Linked DNA regions of Canis lupus familiaris. The protein of the gene in region 2 interacts with the protein of the main gene of each other region in a pairwise test. Links are inferred from orthologs where the notes say so. Each region holds a gene or a part of one and is shown on either strand. Other genes may lie near its edges. The genes, in order: AKAP7, SPA17 and MYL6B.

What was found.
Region 1: the proteins of SPA17 (region 2) and AKAP7 interact in a two-hybrid assay, tested with the Homo sapiens proteins (3 studies listed by BioGRID and IntAct). The two-hybrid records come from large-scale screens. The link is inferred for Canis lupus familiaris from reciprocal best matches to the Homo sapiens genes SPA17 and AKAP7.
Region 3: the proteins of SPA17 (region 2) and MYL6B interact in binary tests that used the Homo sapiens proteins (3 or more experiments, as listed by UniProt). The two-hybrid records come from large-scale screens. The link is inferred for Canis lupus familiaris from reciprocal best matches to the Homo sapiens genes SPA17 and MYL6B.

Annotation. Positions count from the first base shown.
Region 1 is NC_049222.1:70,001,626-70,005,274, forward strand, and holds part of AKAP7 (A-kinase anchoring protein 7), read left to right. Parts: intron 1-424; coding exon 425-572; intron 573-859; coding exon of another isoform or gene 860-1,074; exon of another isoform or gene 1,075-1,337; intron 1,338-3,238; coding exon of another isoform or gene 3,239-3,291; exon of another isoform or gene 3,292-3,649. UniProt on the Homo sapiens protein: Probably targets cAMP-dependent protein kinase (PKA) to the cellular membrane or cytoskeletal structures.
Region 2 is NC_049226.1:9,740,172-9,743,820, forward strand, and holds part of SPA17 (sperm surface protein Sp17), read right to left. Parts: intron 2,861-3,649; coding exon 2,790-2,860; intron 997-2,789; coding exon 910-996; intron 1-909. UniProt on the Homo sapiens protein: Sperm surface zona pellucida binding protein. Helps to bind spermatozoa to the zona pellucida with high affinity. Might function in binding zona pellucida and carbohydrates.
Region 3 is NC_049231.1:824,144-828,529, reverse strand, and holds the start of MYL6B (myosin light chain 6B), read right to left. Parts: upstream 2,875-4,386; 5' UTR 2,717-2,874; intron 2,502-2,716; exon of another isoform or gene 2,314-2,501; intron 1,252-2,313; 5' UTR 1,206-1,251; coding exon 1,029-1,205; intron 311-1,028; coding exon 283-310; intron 26-282; coding exon 1-25. UniProt on the Homo sapiens protein: Regulatory light chain of myosin. Does not bind calcium.

The DNA.
Region 1 (3,649 bases), on a different chromosome or scaffold from region 2:
CAGGAGTTTCAAAATTGCATACATCTTATTAAAACATTTTATACATTATAAAATATTAAGATCTATATCACTTTTTAAAAATTCATCCATTTCTCCATTGTTGATGATTACTCTTTTTTTTTGATACCTCAAATTTCAACTTGATATACCTCATTATTTCAGAAGCTTAAAGCATATAAGGTTCTGAATGCCACCAAATTTAAACCCAATACTCTTTGATGATTTTTTTTTTTTTAATAATACAACTCATCCTAGAGAGGGAGACTTTAAAAACAGATTCAACCATTTTGGGGTATCCGTTTTCAAATGCCTCTAGGCAGAACTAGATACCAAAGTATGTCACATTCTAAGACAGTGATATAAATATGAACTAGCTGCCTCGGTGGAATGATTGAGTGATGTGATTTTGTTTTATCATTTCAAGGGAGTGAAAAAAATCGACCCCAAATTCTATGAAAAATTTATCAGTCATACATTTGGAGAAGAAATGGTACATCGCATAGATCTTTGCTCCATGCTAAAGAAAAAACAAAGTAATGGTTATTATCACTGTGAGTCTTCAATTGTGATTGGTGAGTGCCATTTAAAAATTACTTATTATCTTAGTTTTGATTTCTTTAGCATCATTTCTTTTGGCAGATATTTAGGGCTAGTTGTATGTATTTTTCTCTGACATATTTTTGGAAATATTATATTTTGGCATTAGTACATTTGAAATTTTATAGAACACATTTATTATTCACTGTGGTCAAGATTTTAGTACCTATGGTTTTTATGTTTTTGTGTTTTATATATAATGAAGTCTTGAAATGTTGATTCAAAATTCATTCCAGTTTAATTTTATTTCATGAATATGAAGAAAACATTGTCTTCAGTGAAGGCCTATGTGAACACCCCATCCCACACCAGGCATTTTCATGTTTGCTGCTTTTAATTAGGAATAGAATATTCCAGGCCAAGAAGTTTCACTGTGAGAAGATAAAGTCTAGGTGGCCTGCAAAGGTTGAAAACTTGTCCTTCAATTTCCTCCCCAAAGGAAACATATTTTGTGGGGAAACAAAGATTCATACGTGAATGCTTCTATCATCTTATCAGGGAGTTGGCTTGTGACCGAGACAGAGTCATACACAATCATGTTTCCGAGTGGAAAGTTTACATCAAACGGAGATTTTTTTTAACCAGAACAGGGCTATTGTGCAGTGTTGAATGTATTCAAAGGAACCTGATCTGTTGTGATGCAAATGTGCGATTTCAAACCCAGGCAGCATTCTTCTAAGATGGTGAACTTCAAAAAAAAAAAGTAAAAAAATAAAATAAAATAAAATTGTGAACATCAAGACAATCTGATTGTATGGTTTTGAAGTAACTTGACAATACTCAAAGAAGACAAATACCTGTATCTAAACATTTCATGGTCTTCATCAAGATAATGTCTCTCCACATCAGCTTCAAGAAAACCTGTGGAAATACACATCCTGAATTTTAATATAAATTCTCAGTAGAGCTCTCTTCAGAGAAGTCATCACTTTACCTTCCAAAGATCTTAGCTGTCTTAAACGGAAGATATTCAGTATGTCATTTGAGTTTATATTCTGAAACATTTCACATCTCTTTTAAGGAAGATTTTTGTGTTTTCAGAATCTTGGTTGGAGAGCTGTCTTCCATCGAAGTTTTGTTGAGGACCAGACATTTCTGTTTAGGTTCATTGCAAAGGGCAAATTTAAGACTTTCTTGTGTAACACAGATGTTGGGTAGCTGTCCATGTGTACATAGGTTAGGCCAATGTTGAAGGAGAACTCAATGTTCTTCCTTGACTCTTCTACTCTTGGATAAAGAACAAACAAAAAACCCCCAAGCAGTATGTATATTTTCCTGAAGGTATCCTGGGATTGGTATCATAGCATGTATCCCCTACATTGCCTTAGGACAGCTCTGTTCAGCTCATCCTGAATCACAATGTATCAAACAGTGATTTTTTATTTTATTGCTCTTTTCAGCCTACTCTTAAAAATTCCCCTTATTCTAGGCAATATCTCCAGATTTTCCCCTCAGGCTCCTTTATCTCTCATGTTTTCTAATGCAGAGCAATTTAGCTTCTTTTAAACTCCACCACCAATCTTGTATCCCCATACTGATCATTTAATATTATTTGAAAAAATGGTTTTTGCCCATTACAAATGCTCTACTTTTTCAGTCGCATTTTGTGATGCCAAAATGAACTTTAAAATCATATTTGCATCTGAAATGATAATTATTATGTTATAATTAACCAACTTTAATACACACTAGAAGTCCTTTATTTGCTGGGGATAGTTATTGATTTTCTCTATCTTAATCTTACCTGAGTTTTGTAACAATATTTAGGAAGATTCAGGACACTTTCTTTGTGAGTTTCATTTCTTGATCAGATTTAATTGTTTGTTTTTTTAATTTGATCCTAACTTAAATTTAAATCTGTTTTCTATACCTTGAACCAGTATTTCCTTGTATTAATATTGTATTATATTAATAGAGTGGGGCAGATTTCCATTTTTAAGATATTTTGCATTCAGAATTCTAGGGTAGAAATTGGGTTCAAAGACTCTAAGAATTGTCTATAAAACTTTGTTTATAAAACTTTCTATGTAGGTACATAAGTGGATTTTTCTGGGGAGAGAATTCATTAGATTTGCATCATTTCCTATGTCTTAATTTGTTAATAGTGCATTCTTGTAGAGAACTAGATTACAAATCATGGATTTTCTTTTCAGCTGTCTCAATTATGCCATTTAGGACATCTTATTATTATTATTTTAAAAACATCAATGACTATATGCTTCATTTCCAAGATTTGTCATTGATTCTTTTTCATATTTTCCTTTTCTGTTCTTTGCTTCATGGATGCTATGCTTTCATTTATCTCTTTGAGGATTTTAATATAATTAATTGTTAATATTCTTTTTGTGTATTTAAAAATATTTTATTTCATTTTTATTTTTAAAATAAATTAGATATATAGTATAAATTTAAGGAGTACAAGGTTTTACTTTGGCATTTTTATGTGTTGTAATATGATATTTATCACATTACATAATTACAGTATAATATTTTTGTCTATATTCATTATACTGTAATTAGGTCTTGATTGCTTATTTACAAGTAGTAAATAAGGTATAAGTTTGTACACCATAAAATACTATTAATCTTACTCTCCTACCCACCAATTTTCTGAGAACCACCATTTTATTGTTTTTTACAGCTTTATTAGATTCCATCTATAAGTGGCATCATACAGTACTTGTTTTTCTGTGAATTACCTTGCTTAGCAAATAATGTGCTTGGGGCCCATCCATGTTGTTGCAAGTGGAAGGATATCCTCCTTTTTGATGGCTGAATAATATTCCATTTTGTGTATGTACCACATCTTTCTTATCCATTCATCCATTGTTGGGCATTTAGGTTGTTTTCATATTTTGGCTATTGTGAATAATACTGTGATAAACATGGGAGTTCATATAGCTTGTCAAAATCCTATTCTCATTTCTCTGGGTTTATATCCAGTAGGGGAACTACTGGGTCATATGGTATTTCTATTTTTAATTTTTGGGTGAACCTCCATATTCTTTCTTATAGTCATTGGACTGATTTACAGTCCCACCAAAAGTGCATA
Region 2 (3,649 bases):
ATATGCTAGTAAATGTTTATATATGGACTCTCCAAAAAAAAAAAAGTTTGATTTGTAGTATTGGCCATGATCTTCATACTCCTACCATGGCTGATTTTTGGTAAAGTAGACATTACTGATCATGGGTTGTATAGAGATGTGCACAGTTGTCTCTTGAGAGCTGGCTCTAGCACACTACTGAAAATAGGTATCTTTGAAGGTGGACCCTACTCAGGTCAGGTCTTTACTGCTTAGATGTAGGCTATCAGGCAGGAAGTCATTTTTTTAAAAGATTTTATTTATTTATTCATGAGAGACAGACACAGAGAGACAGAGACAGAGAGAGAGGCAGAGACACAGGCAGAGGGAGAGGCAGGCTCCATGCGGGGAGCCCGATGTGGGACTTGATCCCAGGACTCCAGGATCACGCCCTGGGCCAAAGGCAGGCGCTAAACCGCTGAGCCACCCAGGGATCCCCAGGAAGTTATTTTGTAGACAGCAGTGCATGGAAGGTGAGTAAGACCTTTACACATTGCGGAAAGCCATTCTGTTTGGTGGTATGTGATTCTCTGCGAGTTTCCTTTTGTCATCTCTGACCCTTGCCACTGTGTGGTGGTGAGAGCATCGATTAGTGAAAAATTCTCAGAGTGGAAAGTGAATCTGAAGGATGAAGACTGAGATTCTCCCACCTATTGCCAATCTTGGAAAATAAGATTTTATTTTTAAGGGCAAGAAGGAGTTTTCCTTCATAATAGGCATAGTTACAAATGATCTACCAGTGAGTTTATCACTGATGCCAGTTATCTAGAGAGCAAAGTGATTATTTTAGCAATATGGATAATAGACTAGATTCATATTTGGAGTATAATTTTAATTTGAGGGATATGATTCTTTTTAGGAATCTAATAATATATGGAAAATATAACTTACAAAGGCTGTGACTGGTGTCTCATCCTCTTTCACAGATGGGGGAGATTTTTCTTTTTCTGACTCACAATTCTCAGGTGATTCTTGCTCCTGGAAGAGGGGTGAGAGGGTCAAACAGGCAATATTCCAAAACAGTAAAGTCTTGCATCAAACTGCTGAAAGTCACTAAATATTTCTGTATGTTATTGAGAAGTAGTAGGAATTAAGTACATGCTGATTAAAAAAAAAAAAGAAACTAGGTTGGAAAAAAAAGAAATAAATTAAAACTCTCAAGGGAATATGCATAAACAAATATGACCAAACAATTGGTGAAAAATGTTTGACATTTTTGCTTTTGGAATGTGTGCAGCATTGTTTTTATATGAAAACAAAGCTATTGTCTTATACTAAAGTTGTTAAGATGCTGTAATGAATCTTGAACAAAGTGTAAAAAAGAAGTGCTGCTAGTTTTTAAAATAAGAACAAAATATGTGCCATTGTGCCCCATGATGTGAGATCAAGTGGACTTTTTAATGAAGTTTGAAGGTTAAAAATCATATCAAAGAAGTAAATTGTGCTATGGGGAGCCATTTAAATAAAAAAAAAAGGGATATCAGCTATGCCTATTTTGACATGGTTATTGAAAACTTTCACCAAAATAGAGGCATTGCTAATTCACAACCTATGAGAAGAGTTTCTTGAATCCATAAAACAGAAATTTGAAGACATATAAGCTAATTAAGTAAAGCCTTTAGAATTCAAAAGAGATGGAAAAAAACACCCTAAAATTGCTATGTGACACAAAGACTTAAAGCTTTTTGACACTATTCTTTTGATTGAAATAAAACATGAACACAGAGAATTAAGTTAAGTGGAAACAAACTCAACACTCCCATTATCTGGCAGGCACAAATGGATGGAACTTCACTTTTGAACTCATGGAAAAAGTGACAGGTATTTCCCCTGGAAATTCCCCAGTTCTACTGCGGAACACCATCAAAACCTGAACTTGGTTAATTCCTTTTAATTCTAATATCTGGCGGAGATTTGTGGCTAATGTATTATCTCAGTTGTCTAGAAGAGTGCTTCTCAGACACCAATGTACCTACAAATTACTTTGGGGAGCTTGTTAAAGTTCAGTTTCTGACTTGGCAGATCTCGAGTAGAGCCTGAGACAGAATTTCCATCAAGTTCCCAGTTAGTTGATGCCAATCACAAAGGGTCACACATAGCCCTTATCATCCAGTGTTCCTCTTCTGGACCACAGAACACAGAATGTTTTGAGGGACTATTCTATCAAGGATGGTACATAACTAGAATCATCCTGGATACAAAGGAAAGACATTGATTCTTTACATGCAATGAGTGCCTTTGGCTTAGGGCTTAATTATTTTGGGGAACCTTGGTTGAGAAAGGCTGGTTCAGAGAATGTTGCTAAAGAGAAGGCAGGTTCAGTCTTTGAACACATTAGTTTTGTAGAAGAAACTCCACCATGATGTCAATGATGATGAAACAACTAGATAAATGGTGTTTTATTTTATGAAATGTCATTTGTTAATTCAACAAATATTTATTGAGGATCCGCTATTGCTAACCATCGTGATACCCAATACAATTTGAAGAATAAATTATAGTAGTTATTCTGTAACTTTTCAAGTACATTCTTTCTGTTGATCACCTTTCAATTTCAGCTAAATATCTGTTCACAATTCAGATACTTTATTTTTTTTCACAATTCAGATACTTTAGAAAAAAAATTCTCGTCAGAAAGAACAGCACAACTAAAAAGGTTTAATAAGATATATATGCCTTTCATGATCGTGATTCTGGGGAGATTCTGCTATTATCTGTTTTGGAGACAAGGAGAAGAAATAACCAAATCCACGAGTTTCATAGGACCATACCTTGAATGCATGGTTGTTATAGAAGCGGTCGTCTACCTTAGCCCCCCATTCTGCTGGATCAAAGTTGGTTTCTAAATAATAAAAATATAATAATTTCAGACTTATTTTGAGTTCATTAAAGTAAATCCAGATTAGTAACACAAGATCTTTTTTTCAAACTACAGGGCTTTTTTTTTTTTTAAAGATTTTATTTTTTTATTTATTCATAGAGACAGAGAGAGGCAGAGACACAGGCAGAGGGAGAAGCAGGCATCATACAGAGAGCCTGACGTAGGACTCGATCCAGGGTCTCCAAGATCACGCCCTGGGCTGCAGGCAGCGCTAAACCGCTGAGCCACCGAGGCTGCCCAAGCTGGAAGTTCTTTATTGCTAGTTGAAAATCTTACTATGGGGACACCTGGGTGGCTCAGTGGTTGAGTGTCTGCCTGTGGCTCAGGGCGTGATCTTGGAGTCCTGGGATCGAGTTCCATATATGGCTCCCTGCAGGGAGCCTGCTTCTCCCTCTGCCTATGTCTCTGTCTCTGTTTCTGTGTCTCTCTTGAATAAATAAAATCTTAAAAAAAGGAAAATCTTATTATGTACATAGCTTAACACTGTAAACATAACCAGTGATAACAATATATGATGCTCCTCCTCCTGCTTGTGCTCTCTCTCTGTCAAATAAATAAAATCTTTAAAAAAATAAAAATGAAGCATATTATGTAGTCAGTAAACAAAGACAGGAAGAAATATTTATATTTAAGCAGATTTTTTGAACTTTTCATTATGAACAATTTCTTTTTTTTTTTTAAAAGATTTCATTCATCTGACAGAGCCAGAGAGTACAAATTAGGGGAGTGGCAGAGGGAGAGGGAGAAGCA
Region 3 (4,386 bases), on a different chromosome or scaffold from region 2:
AACAGCTCAAAGGCCTCCTTGAACTCTGAAGTACAAGGAGAGGTCAGTGTTGAGACCAGGGGTTCCCATCACCACCCCCCCACTCCACCCCTGACAGAAAGGAGGTTCAGAAACTCCGAACTAGAGCTAGGCAGAACAGAGGACACAGAGCACTAGGAGGAAGGTTCCAAGGTTGGGACTAGACGGTGGCGCTATCCAAGGTTGGGCTAGGGGAACAGAAAGAGGATCTGACCAGGGGCTTGGGGCTAGACGGTGCGGCTTAAGGGACCAGCTTCTCCTCACCCTCCAGCTGGTCCTTGTTAAACTCGATCTGTGGAAGAAAAGAGCAGGTGAGGAGAGATGACAGGGCTCACTGAATCTCTCTCCAGCACTCCTCCCAACCAACTGGCAGCCACTTCTGGGGAGGGGCCCAAAGAGACCAGGCTGGGAGCCCAGCCACCTCAGTCCCATTCCCAGCTCTGGACCTTGGGAGAATCCCAAGAGGAGGAATTATGGGGGGGAGGGTTTCCTGGGAACAGGGTTAATCCCATGCCACCTGTTCCCCTCCCTCCAGTGCCCTGAGCTCTGCATCCCTCACATAACTGGGGGCTGAACAAAGGCTAAATTTACCCCTGGCCCCCAGCTGTGATTGTCTAACAAGTCTGTCCTCCTCAGCCTTCCCTCCTGGGGTTCAGAGTTGTGGCTTTTAGAACCGAACAGTCAGCCAGGCACAGGCACCAGCTCCCTCTCTTCACCTTGAAACTGTCCTCAGAACCCAGATGTTCCCCATCTCCCAGGTCCCTGCCGCCAGCAGAGGGGTCAGTGAGAATGTGTGTATGTACCCACACATATAGTATAGGTTAGAGGGAGAGAATAAAAAAGAACAGCAGTCATAAGCCTGGATGCTTCCAAATAGGGGACCAAGAGGGATCTCCAGTATCCGTGCAGTGCTCACCGAGTCCCTATCTTTTAGATACCCCTAACCACCTCGGCTGTTTCCCACCCTGTACCATCCCTTACAAATTCTTCCTCAGTCTCCCAAGACTCACCACCACTTTGGAGAGATCGATGGGGGGCTCCTGGGTTTTCTGAGGAGCTGGAGGGACAGCTGGAGCTGGCTCAGCCTTGGGCTTGGCAGGAGGGGCCCCTGCTGCTGGTTTGGCAGCAGGCTTGGAAATAGAGGGTCCCGCTGGTTTCTTCATAGGAACATCCTTCTTGGGAGGCATGATGTCCGGTGGCCAAAGGACAGTGTGCCGATGGGGGCACCCATCTCTGTTTAAATAGCCAGGGAGTCTGGGATGTCAAGGGGCGGGGGCAGGGGCAGGGAGCCAGTTGGCGGTGAGGAGGGTGAGATAGAGGAGAGATATGCCGGCCTGCCCTGGACTCCTATGGTTCAGGACTCCTGCCCCAAGGTCTTCTCTCTTCTGTTCACTAAGCCCCAAATGCTAGCCAGAACAATGGCCCCTTTGGGGGCAGGGGAAGGAAGCCAGAGACTGCCCAGAATGAGGGAGTTAACCTCCGGGGTAAGGATAGGATGCTTGCCAGTGACAGACACTGACACAGGGGTGAAGCAAAGAAGGGGACCCAGGCATTCCAGGCCTCGACCCCCCTCCCACACACACAGAGTAGCCCTTTTGTTTTAGCAGCTTTAGACCCTTAAAGGCTGAGGCAGGGAGGGGGCCCTTGTGAACTGGGATTGTTAGAGTGGGGTCTGGGAGGGGCACCTGGCTGGCTCAGTCAGTAGGGCATGTGACTCCTCATCTTGGAATTGTGGATTTGGGCCCCACACTGGGTGTGCAGACTACTTGAAAATAAAATCTTAAAAAAAAAAAAAAAAAAAAGTGGGGTCCAGGAGCAGTTTAAGATGAAAAAACCAAGCAGCTCTTCTACTCCCCTCTGACTATAGTTGAGGAGCAGGGGCAGTTGACCCCACAGCCTTTAATCCCCAAATCTTACAGTCACTGCCACCGTCTCCCAGCCCAGAACTGGAATTGTGCCAGTATAGATAAAGAACAGTAACATAAAGGAGTGTGATCACACACACACACACACACACACACACCCCATGATCTCCTGTTCCCAATATGGTTTTAAGGGTAAGGGTGGGAACAAGGATCAGGTTTAACACCCACCACCCACACACCAAGGAAGGAACCCTTTTCCACAGGCCCCATGGTCCATCAAGTCAAAGGAAGGTAGGGAGCCTGCGGAGCCTGCAGGGACTCTGTGGTGCACCTGAGAGGAAGGGCAGGCCCTGGGAGGCCAGGAGCCTAAATCCTAAAATCTCTAATCCAAAAGGATGTGGGAGGTCCTATGGGTTCCAAAGGTACTTACCCACCAAGCAGAGAATGGTAACAACCCTGGCCCTGGCGCCAGGTTCCAAACCTTGCTGGGGGCACCGGGTAGGGTCTAAGTCGGAGGTGGCGGGGAGAGGGGAAGGGGTTGCGGCTACTTTTGTTCTTGGGATAAGAAAGGAAAAGATTTAGGCAGCATTCTGAGGAAGAGTAATGATTCCACTTAGACCCTGGGGTTCAGAGATTTGATGATTCGTCTCTCACTTGCAAAAATGCGTCTGAATCTCATTACTGAACACTGTCCCATTTTAGAAAAATCGGAATCGTTCCAGCCTCCCAGAACTCATCTCACTCACACACACGCACATGCACACGCACGCACCCACACCTCAAATCAAGCTTAAATAAAGGAAAGAGTCCCTCCCCAGCTCCCCAAAACTCACCCTGCGGGGTCCAGGTGAGGGCGGAGGCGGGGCTGGGAGGCCGCGGGCCCCGAAGGGTTAACGCCAGCGGCCTCGGAGCATGCCGGGAGTCGTAGTCCTCGCGCGCCCGCGGCCTCACGGGAAGGCCGCTGGCAGCTGGGAGACCTCGCCCGAGCGGCGGCTTCCGGCAGGTGGCGGCGGCGGTGACTCAGGCCGTTTGGGCGCCCTCCGCCTCCCGGAGCTGAGCGGCGGTGACCGCTCTACAGCCCCCCCCCCGCCCCGGCGCCAGAGCCGCGCGGGCCCGGGCATCTGCGACGCTGAGCGGGGGCTCCCGGGGGGCGGGGGAGCGGGCGCCGCCGAGGGGCCGTGTGACTTGGAACAGCAACTCCACCGAATTCTCCTTTCTTTTCTTTTTTCTTTTTTTTCGGTAATGAGCTGCTGGTAGTTGAAGTAAATGTTAAGATTTGGGATTAGGCCTTGGCCACCTGCCCCGGCTCCTCCCACTGTGCAAGTTTCTCCATCCCGCGGCGCGGGGCCTCGGCTCTGCCTGGAACCGCGGGGCTGCGCCGCCCAGCGCCTCGGGCCTCACGCCTCCGTCCGCGCTGGTCATCTCCTTCCCGAGACGCCCCGCAGCCCTCCGGGGCTGGGGCTGCGGGGGCTCGCGGGGCTCGCGGCTGACAGGCCGAGGGTCAGAGGAGGGGGCGGGCGGTGGGGGTGTGCAAGCCGCTCGGAAGAGTAGGGACGGTTGCCTACAGCCTAACAGGAGGTGGAGGAGGAGGTCAGCCGCTCTCCGCGGAGGCCTTCACCAAGCCCTTTCCGCTTGGGCTGGATTACCTCCGAGGAGCAGCCGAGGGGGAGCTGAAGAGAAGGGTCCCGCCGCGCCCCGCGCCCCAGAGAAAACATGAAGACTCTTGGCAAACAGACTGGCAAACCCCTCATTTTTGCATTATTCTTGTCTTCTAATCTGGGAGCCCAACTTGGGACCCTGACAGCATGACCTAACACTTAATCGACTGAGCCACCCAAGCACCCCATAAAGAAGGTCAGGCATGGCTCCGTCTTTAAGGAACGGGAAACTGAGACTCCCAGAGTCTCTGCTGCTTCTTTCTTTCTTTTTTTTTTTTATTTATTTATGATAGTCACAGAGAGAGAGAGAGAGAGGCAGAGACACAGGCAGAGGGAGAAGCAGGCTCCATGCCGGGAGCCCGATGTGGGATTCGATCCCGGGTCTCCAGGATCGCGCCCTGGGCCAAAGGCAGGCGCCAAACCGCTGCGCCACCCAGGGATCCCGAGTCTCTGCTTCTTTTGCCAGTGTGATCTAGAGTATGGGAGCAGAGTCAAGGTTCAAATGTAAATCTAAAAAATAAAAAGCGAATCTAACTCTAAAGTCCTTGTTTTGTGTTTATTTTTTATTTTTTTTTAATTTTATTTTTTTAATTTATGATAGTCACACAGAGAGAGAGAGGCAGAGACACAGGCAGAGGGACAAGCAGGCTCCATGCACCGGGAGCCCGATGTGGGATTCGATCCCCGGTCTCCAGGATCGCGCCCTGGGGCCAAAGGCAGGAGCCAAACCGCTGCGCCACCTAGGGATCCCTATTTTTTATTTTTTTAAGTAGGCTTCATGCCTAGGGCAGAGCCCAGCTCAGGGCTTAAGCTCAAGACCCGAGACAAAAAAAAAAAAAAAGACC